3 linked regions of the Nothobranchius furzeri genome follow. The protein of the gene in region 2 binds, or shares a complex with, the protein of the main gene of each other region. Links are inferred from orthologs where the notes say so. Each region holds a gene or a part of one and is shown on either strand. Other genes may lie near its edges. The genes, in order: phosphatidylinositol N-acetylglucosaminyltransferase subunit Y, dpm2 and dpm1.

Region 1 (2,332 bases), on a different chromosome or scaffold from region 2:
TATGCTACCCGGCCCGGGCCGACCCGGTACAGATGGGAATGGCCCAATAGGTAGATCTAAAGGGTCCGAGTTGGACAGCCCTGAATCATATGCTACGTATCACAAACCTCTCATGCTTTTATCAGACTGTGGTTCTTTTTACAAGTGTCACTGTTTAACAGAGAGCCTCCCCCCCCCCCCAGGTCGGAGCGGTCCAGCTGAGACTAAACAAACCCTTCTTCTTCAAGACAAAAGGAGAATGGCAGTCGCCTCGGCCGGAGTCTCCGCTGACCAAATTTTCTCAGGGCAGAAACCCTAAAAGCAAAAAGTGTCACTAAGGAAGGACGTGAACGTACGATGAAAGCTGTTCTTGTTTGTTTCGGAGCATTTTGGGTCAAAGGCTTAAAAGTTCGAGCTTTTTTAAAACTTGTTTTGTTTTGCATGAAAAGATGATAGTTTGTGTTTGAAGTACAGGCATGTTTGCTGGATTGTTCCTCCCTGAAGTACGTTCACATTTCATAAAACAGACATTAAATAGCTGTTCTGTGTGAAAATGTTTTTATCAAATAAAAGTAACTTATTCCAATAAAGTTGTTTATTCTTTTCTGCAAGAACTGGAAAAATCCAAGAAGTTCAGTTGTTAAATCGGTTACATTTATCCATTTTATAACAGGAGTTTGTTCAGTAGCAGTTAGCGTTTACACGGACTCGGTTACTATGAGTCCTACCTGCAAGCCTAAACTTCCAGACAAGTAAAACCCAAGTCTAGCAGACTTTAACAGACATGAAATAAAGAAAATAATGTTACTGAAGTTGGTAAAGGAGGTAAAAGTGCATCAGAAAACATGCCGTGGGTTGTTTTCAGAGAGCATCCTAGTTGTGTCTGAAGAGCTTGATCCCCATCCAGCTCCAGAGATGGAAGAAGACGTAGACGGGGATGGTGACCGGCAGCAGCAGGCTGTAGAAGCACAGACTGTTGCCGCTGGTGCAGCCTTGAGGGAAGTTCTCATCCACGGCTGCAGAGTAGAACAAGCCAATGAGTGACACGATGGGGACCAGTCCCACCATCACGGACAAGGAGAGCATTCTAGCAGATTAGCTTTACAGTTTTTTTCTTTAAAAAAATAGCAGTGCTCAATCGGTTTTCTGGCAAATGAAGGTCTTTGATAGACTTTCTGTTACTGTGCAGGTGGATTAGAAGCGTCTGTGTCCTTCTGAAGGAGTCTGGCCTCCTGGGGGATCATGTTGGGGATGCCGTCGATGATGGGATAGGCGATGCCAAGCTCCTCATTGATCAGCTCGTTGGTATTGGCATCATACCTAGAGGAAAGAAAAAGAACATCAGTTATCTGGAAAACAGATTAGACTGTTTTATGCGTTGGTTCAGTCATTTCTAATAATGAATGCCTAGGTCGCAGGTCGATGATAGACTTTGAAGTCGTATCATCCGACCTGCGGCCGTGTGTTTTGGACACCAGAGTGAAGAGAGGAGCGGAGCTGTCAACTGATCACCACCTGGTGGGGAGTTAGATCAGATGGCAGGGGAAGATGTCGCGTAGACCTGGCAGACCCAAACGCATAGTGAGGGTCTGCTGGGAACGCCTGGCAGAAGAACCTGTCAAGACGGTCTTCAACTCCCACCTCCGGCAGAGCTTTGACCGCGTCCCGAGACCAGTGGGGGACATTGACTCCGAGTGGGCCTTGTTCCACTCTGCGATTGTTAAGGCGGCTGTTGCTAGCTGTGGTCGCAAGGTGGCCGGAGCCAGTCGTGGTGTGGAGTGTGTCGAGTTTGGAGGCAGGAGAATCTCGTCTCTGCTTTTTGCGGATGATGTGGTCCTCCTAGCTTCATCCAGCTCTGACCTTCAGCTCTCGCTGGGTAGGTTCTTGCTGCCCCCGCGACCCGGATAAGCGGAGGAAGACAACGACGGTGTGTGTGTGTGTGTGTGTGTGTGTGTGTGTGTGGGGGGGGGGGGGGGGTAGATTTCACCTTTACACTGCCTCTAATGCAGCTTTGACTAATTCTTAAGTAGGATGTATTCAAACATAGTACATCCTTGTTTAATTGATGTAAACGCCCAAAACAATTTCCCAATGATGTTACTAAGCCAGTGAAAGAAATCCCTTAATTTTTGATAAAAATCCTAATAAAAAAGATCAGTTAGTATGAAAGGTGTTAAAAACTGCTGTGTCTCAATGGTCTGGCTTAGTTAGCAACACCATTTAGGAATGGTTTTGGGTATTAAAATCAATTAACCTGGCAGCTTTTGAAAGAAATCACTTCATTTTTTATTTAAATCCTAAAAATAATGATCAGATCTTGCGAAATGTGCTAAAAGCTGCAGTGTCGCTGACC
Region 2 (2,392 bases):
CCATCCATTCTAGTGAACTCCTGAGCCTCTGATGGATGTTCTGGTAATAAACCTGATTCTGTTGAAACTAAATAAAGTTTACTCCAGATCAAAGAGGCGAGCCGCAGATCTTCATCATCATCATCATCACCAGAACTCACCTCAGAACGGACCGCAGCTCGGAGCCGGCTCGGTGGGTTCGGGTCTCTGACTCACATGTCCGCGCGGAGCCTGGTCGCACCACGGACCGGGTCCCACCCGGTGACACGCACGGACCGAACCACCGAAACGGACCGAACCACTTGCAGGAACCGGTTCTGCAACGTCATGCAGTGATGGTGCAGAACGATGAATAGCTGACAACAGTTTGGTCCAGCTGGAGGCTCCGGAAGCTTCTACACCCCCCACCCCCCCACACAGGCACTGATTGGTCAAGCTGAGGCTGAGCCTGGTGCAGGTCCAGATCAGGCCCAGGCCTGGAGGAGATCCTGGTTCCGGGTTCTGAACTCTTTTCTATCATCATCATGTCTGTGAGTTAGAAACGAGCGCAGATCCAAAGCAGAAAACATTTTAGTTTTATTTTAGAAAAACGATCATCCGGGAACTCCAGCTGCAGTAAAACACCAGAACAGCTGGATTTCAGCACTCAGATGTCAGTCGGTCTGCTTTGAGTGAACACATCTGGATGTGAAACGGATTCAAACAGGCTCCATTTAAACATTTACTCTTTCTAAACATTCAAATAAAATCTGGTTAAATCAGGTGAATGTTGACATCATCTAGACATGTGACCTCTGGTTCTCTGCTGCAGCAGGTGTGATCTTATAGAACCGGTCTGGTTCTAGTGAAGTCCTCTGAGACCTGAATAGAACCAAGTCTGAATCTGCAGAACGTTTTCTCCATCGTGTAGTACGAGCTGGGCCACTAGGTGGCGCCAACGCGCTATAAATGACGTCTGAAGCGGAAGGGCATCAAAGGGACATTTCTCTTCTTTGCAGAAGAACATGTTGTTTATAACTGCAGGAAAAAGTCTATTGTGCAGAACAAAAGTATGAGCTGGTGGTTCTGGTGTCGCCGCCAGCAGGAATAACCTTTAAGGGGTTCAATCCTCCTTAGGCCACTTTCTTTGGTTTGTGGTCCTTCCACATGATGAAGGTAGTGAAGGCTCCTGCAGAGGAAGCACAGAGTCATCTCCTCTCATCCACGGAAAACATCAACATCCCATATTCATGCGACAGAAAATAAACAGAATGTTTTAATGAAGAAGTTTATGAGTGAAGATACTGACCAACAAAGAGGACAAAGATTACTGCAGCAACACCTGGTAGGATCACAGAATATTCCCGAGGAAGGAAACATCTGTGCAGGGGGTGATCCGAGTCTACAAAAGGCTGGAAAGTAACACAAAGGTGACCTAATGAAGCTCAAGTCACATGATCAGATACAGAACTCAAGATGAGGACATGGAAGATGTTTCATTTAGAGAAATGTTAGCTGCAAACACCCAACAGAACCCACCAGAACGATGACCCAAACAGTGTAGTAGGAGAACAACAGGAGGCTGAAAACAACGAGACTCATCCCGACCGCCTGATCTGCTCCCGACGCCTGGAAGCACAAATGCAGCCTGGGATCAAGATCCAGCTTCCTGATCATCAACAGGAAGAATCAGAGATAAACAGTGAGGTGTTTGTGTGCGCGCGTGTGTGTGTGTGTGTGTGTGTGTGTGTGTGTGTGTGTGTGTGTGTGTGTGTGTGTGTGTGTGTGTGTGTGTGTGTGTGTGTGTGTGTGTGTGTGTGAATTAAATACAGTCTTATAAAAAGCTGCAGGATCCGGCATCGGTACGGTGGTTCTGGGAATGACTCAAAGTTTATTCTTTTAAGTATTATTTTATTTTTTAATTTTATATCATTTATTTATGTAGTTTATATCTATAAATATATTATCTATTAATATATAATAAATATATTTTAAATAGAAAAAAAGTGTAATCACCCAAAATAAACTACTGAAGGACTGGTGCATTTCTTGGTTTGGCCTAATGTCTTATTTAATCATGTTTCTGATGCCGTTCATTTAAAAACTCCATTCAAACTTTGAACACAAGACTTTAGTTCAAATCTGCTGATTCTTGATTTTGTTTGTTATGAAAATGTAAACAAATTAACCAGAAAGCTCTGATGTGTCACTTCCGTTGTTGTAAATACAATAAATCACAGATATGACATTTATTTTGGTAAACCATAACCCCAAACAAATAAAACAAATAAGGGCTGCACCGATTCTAGTTTGAAGGGCCGATACCGGCTCGGCTCACGATGACTCCTGCAGCACTGGTGATGTTTTTATTCTGAGCCTACTTCTGTCACCTGCTCGCGGATTAGGGTTAGGATTACAAACGCATTTCTTTTAC
Region 3 (3,766 bases), on a different chromosome or scaffold from region 2:
TGGTGAACGTCTCTCTCTTGTTTTTAATTTGGTGAAACTTCTGTTTTAAAGACAAACTTGTGGAACGAGGAAAAAAAAAAGCTCCCAGAAGCTCTGAACATCGCTGATCACGTCGTGGCGAAGAGTGTGAGCAGTCCTCTCACAAATGACACGATCTCATTCCCTCCCAGTTTTGACTCTCCATAAACCCGATCCACAAAGGAAATAGGAACCTGCGAACGACGAGGAGAAAATAAACCTTAGTTTAATTTCAGCGGAAACGTTGAGAAGAACTCATACAAAGTACAAATATTCAAAGAACCCAACAGCGTGGTAGGTCAACACCTCTCCAATTGTGTAGTTGAGCTGTCTGGCTCGGACGATCATCTCCATCTGGAACACGTAACCTTTAGACACACACCGCTCCACCAGACTCTCCAGCACATTTTTCTTGTATAACCTTCCAAAAGCGTAGGGAAAAAAGCACAAAAGTGAGGAAACGGTTCAGTTTTCTAGTCAATGACGATTCAAACCTCTTGCATCAGTTACCTGAAGCTGCCCGTGAGGTCCGAAGCGCCGGGTCTCAACAAAACCTGAGTCAAAAAGTTAGCACCTCGACTAAGACACAGGAGAGAAAAACAAATCTCGTTTTCATCGAGCGTAGGAGAGCGGACACTGGTGACCAAGTTCTGCTCACTGGCCGTTACCTGATGAGTTTCCTGCGCAGGTCCCAGCCGTAGACACCTCCATTGCCCTGATAGCGAGTACCAGACACAAGGTCATAACCACCTTCCTTCTGCTTTCTGTGAATGAAATACGATACTTTACCTAAAACATGCTAGAATAATCCGACTCGTCACACATGGATGAAAGTTACCCTGATAATCAGAAATGTTGCGAGTCTTTATAAACGCACCAACTCATAACATAAAAAACAATTATACTTACTCAATAAATTCAGGAATAAACTTGGGCTGAAATAAAATAAAGACGAATAAAATACACAGCAGTGCAACAAAATAAATAAATAAATAAATACTCAATTGGACTTTACTAGCCATTTGTGTTTTTCCAGACAAGATACTCAAAAGATGTCTTGTTTCTAAGATATTTTATACATCAAATACACTCGTGCATCGACTCACGTGATGGGAAAGATCTGCATCCATGATGATGATGAAGTTCCCAGTGGCATGCTTCATGCCATGGATGTAGGCTGTGCCTTTAAAACATGAAGGGATGATTACATCCACTGGTAATGTTTATAAAGGAAATGCAATAATTTTACCAACTTACCAAGGCCTAATTTTTTCTCCCTTGGTCGCAGAACCTGAAAAATTAGAAGGATTTAACAATTAATGACTGTTGATTATCACTGTAAAGTTTTGTGATAAAAAAAACAAACAAATTACTTTTTAATTATTTTACACAGTATATGTGGTGCAACTTTAATGTGAATTTATCTTGTTCATGCTGAGAGATCAGTCTTAACTTACTATTTTGTCCTTTCCGTAAATTTTCTGCAACTGCTCTGCAACCTCCAGTGTCCCATCTGGGCTTCCGTCATCAATGATAATAATCTCATAGTCATATCCACTGTGAGAAATAAGCATTACTATCATGCCGACAGAGATTACTGTAAATCAATCTTTAGACATATAAAAAACTATTTCACTTAAAATGACAAAAATTATTTTTCATTTATCAATTTATTAATTCATTTATTAAAAACATTAAATATTATTTCACAAACGTTTTAGGAATGTAATCACAAGAGATGAATCCGTTCAAGTTACCTTTTAAAGACGCAATTAACTGTTACACACACATATACATATATATACACATACATATATATGTAATATATATACACATACATATACATATATATATATATATGCATATATGCATATATATATACATGCATGCATGCATGTATATATATATATATATATATATATATATATATATATATATATATATATATATATATGTGTGTGTGTGTGTGTGTACAATTATTCTTTATATTTATTTCAGGATAAGTAAATCCAGGTCTTAGTTTTCACCTACATTTATAATGAAAGAAAAAATACTGGAAATCGTCGGTTTCTGCAGCATTATAAAACGAATAAAAACTCAGAACAAAATTTAAAATGCGTCTTAGAAGGCAACTACTAAATTAACAGTATAATCCAGATTTAATGTGTCTCTACTACCAAATCAGCGTCGATGACACAAGTGACAACTCATCGCTAGCAGACGCTAACAAGAGTTATCATTAGCCACGCATCTTTGCACGCTTAAAAAAACTCACCCTTCTCCGAAATATTTCAACAAAAGCCACACTATCAGAGGCAGGTTTTCTCTTTCGTTGTACGTGGGTAATAATACAGAGTATTTGTCCCGGCTCTCTCGCTTTGGTTGCGAAGATTTTCGACTAGCCATAGCAGACGCGAAAGCTCAAAATACTATAAGCTAGTTGAGAAGTTAAAAGAAGTGCTGTACAATTTCCTGTTGTCGTATTTCAAAATAAAGGTCAGTTTGAATTTCGTCCTGTCGGAAGACCCCCCCACCACCACCACCACCCACACACACACAACTTACATTGTCATTCTAGTTTTGCAAAAAGTAAGCAACTGTACTTGGCTCAGTGGTAATACTACATTTCAATATTTATATAATATATATATTTTAATAATGTCTAAATCAAGTAACTAGTTAACCAGAGGAATACTTGGGCTGTACAAATAAATTATTATAGATCAATGAAAAAGTGTTTTTCACTCATGTACTTGAACACTTTCTGGGTATGTGGAAGGACAGTATTCTTCGGGATTACGTTTGTCATAAAATGCGAACGTTTACGCTGAAATTAGTCTTGAACATCGCCTTGGCTTATTTGAACTTCCTGTTGTACTTTCCAAAATAAACACACCTAGAAACCAATTCCTCCATCATGGTTCCGACAACAGTTTTCAGCGCGGTCACTTACCTTGAAAACGTCTTTAAATAAATAAATAAACCATAAGAAATACACAGAAAAATGTAAACAACACAATAAATATAGTGATGTTCCAAAAGACTAACACACAACGAATTCATAAACATTTTATTTAAAAATACACAAAAACATTGGAGATAACGTGACATTTTTACTCTCAACACATATGCCAACACCAAGAAACCACAAAATTGTAAACAGAAATAACTACTTGGAATACATAGTAGATAGTATATAACAATAAAATGGATATGCCAAATAATAAATATAAACTATACAAAACAAAATTCTCACAGTATCATTTATACCATGGAATAAAAAGAACATTTTACACCATGGAATACACTTATTCTTTATCTTTGAGGCAGTTTAGGTTAAAATGCAAATAAAATTCATAAAAGACACAAAAGGCTTGACTTTTTCCTTAATACAGTGCATAAACATAACAAAGTATACATACACGATTTCAGTGCTAGATTGTTAAACAATAAGGTACTTTACTGATCCCTCTGGGAACAGCATTTTTGTTTTGATCAATACCAAAAGCTGTACTTAATACAAAAACATTTCTGGACTTAAAATCCTGTCTTTGGAGTTTTAAAACAAAAAGTACACAAACCAAGATTCCCCTTATGGTTGAACAGTTTTTAAGGTAAAGTTTCGGCATCATCCAAGGGTTAGTTCAAGATGATGAAGGTCTCCAGTGGTCACTTTTGCAGATGTAATCTCTGTTTAGTTCTGCTCTAAAGGACCACCAGTGTCTCATGGTGTCACTGCTGCCTGCTT

The links.
Region 1: dpm2 (region 2) and phosphatidylinositol N-acetylglucosaminyltransferase subunit Y share a complex: the UniProt entries of both Homo sapiens proteins name them as parts of the glycosylphosphatidylinositol-N-acetylglucosaminyltransferase (GPI-GnT) complex. The link is inferred for Nothobranchius furzeri from reciprocal best matches to the Homo sapiens genes DPM2 and PIGY.
Region 3: dpm2 (region 2) and dpm1 share a complex: the UniProt entries of both Homo sapiens proteins name them as parts of the dolichol-phosphate mannose (DPM) synthase complex. The link is inferred for Nothobranchius furzeri from reciprocal best matches to the Homo sapiens genes DPM2 and DPM1.

Annotation. Positions count from the first base shown.
Region 1 is NC_091744.1:85,184,353-85,186,684, forward strand, and holds phosphatidylinositol N-acetylglucosaminyltransferase subunit Y, read right to left. Parts: upstream 1,066-2,332; coding exon 853-1,065; 3' UTR 557-852; downstream 1-556. Other genes in the region: triadin, read left to right, coding at 183-317; pyurf (protein preY, mitochondrial), read right to left, coding at 1,158-1,299. UniProt on the Homo sapiens protein: Part of the glycosylphosphatidylinositol-N-acetylglucosaminyltransferase (GPI-GnT) complex that catalyzes the transfer of N-acetylglucosamine from UDP-N-acetylglucosamine to phosphatidylinositol and participates in the first step of GPI biosynthesis.
Region 2 is NC_091746.1:70,779,998-70,782,389, forward strand, and holds the end of dpm2 (dolichol phosphate-mannose biosynthesis regulatory protein), read right to left. Parts: intron 1,588-2,392; coding exon 1,498-1,587; intron 1,371-1,497; coding exon 1,268-1,370; intron 1,148-1,267; coding exon 1,092-1,147; 3' UTR 532-1,091; downstream 1-531. UniProt on the Homo sapiens protein: Regulates the biosynthesis of dolichol phosphate-mannose. Regulatory subunit of the dolichol-phosphate mannose (DPM) synthase complex; essential for the ER localization and stable expression of DPM1.
Region 3 is NC_091755.1:48,132,822-48,136,587, forward strand, and holds the start of dpm1 (dolichol-phosphate mannosyltransferase subunit 1), read right to left. Parts: upstream 2,543-3,766; 5' UTR 2,425-2,542; coding exon 2,294-2,424; intron 1,576-2,293; coding exon 1,476-1,575; intron 1,310-1,475; coding exon 1,276-1,309; intron 1,202-1,275; coding exon 1,125-1,201; intron 954-1,124; coding exon 928-953; intron 783-927; coding exon 687-782; intron 598-686; coding exon 529-597; intron 440-528; coding exon 325-439; intron 213-324; coding exon 108-212; 3' UTR 1-107. UniProt on the Homo sapiens protein: Transfers mannose from GDP-mannose to dolichol monophosphate to form dolichol phosphate mannose (Dol-P-Man) which is the mannosyl donor in pathways leading to N-glycosylation, glycosyl phosphatidylinositol membrane anchoring, and O-mannosylation of proteins; catalytic subunit of the dolichol-phosphate mannose (DPM) synthase complex.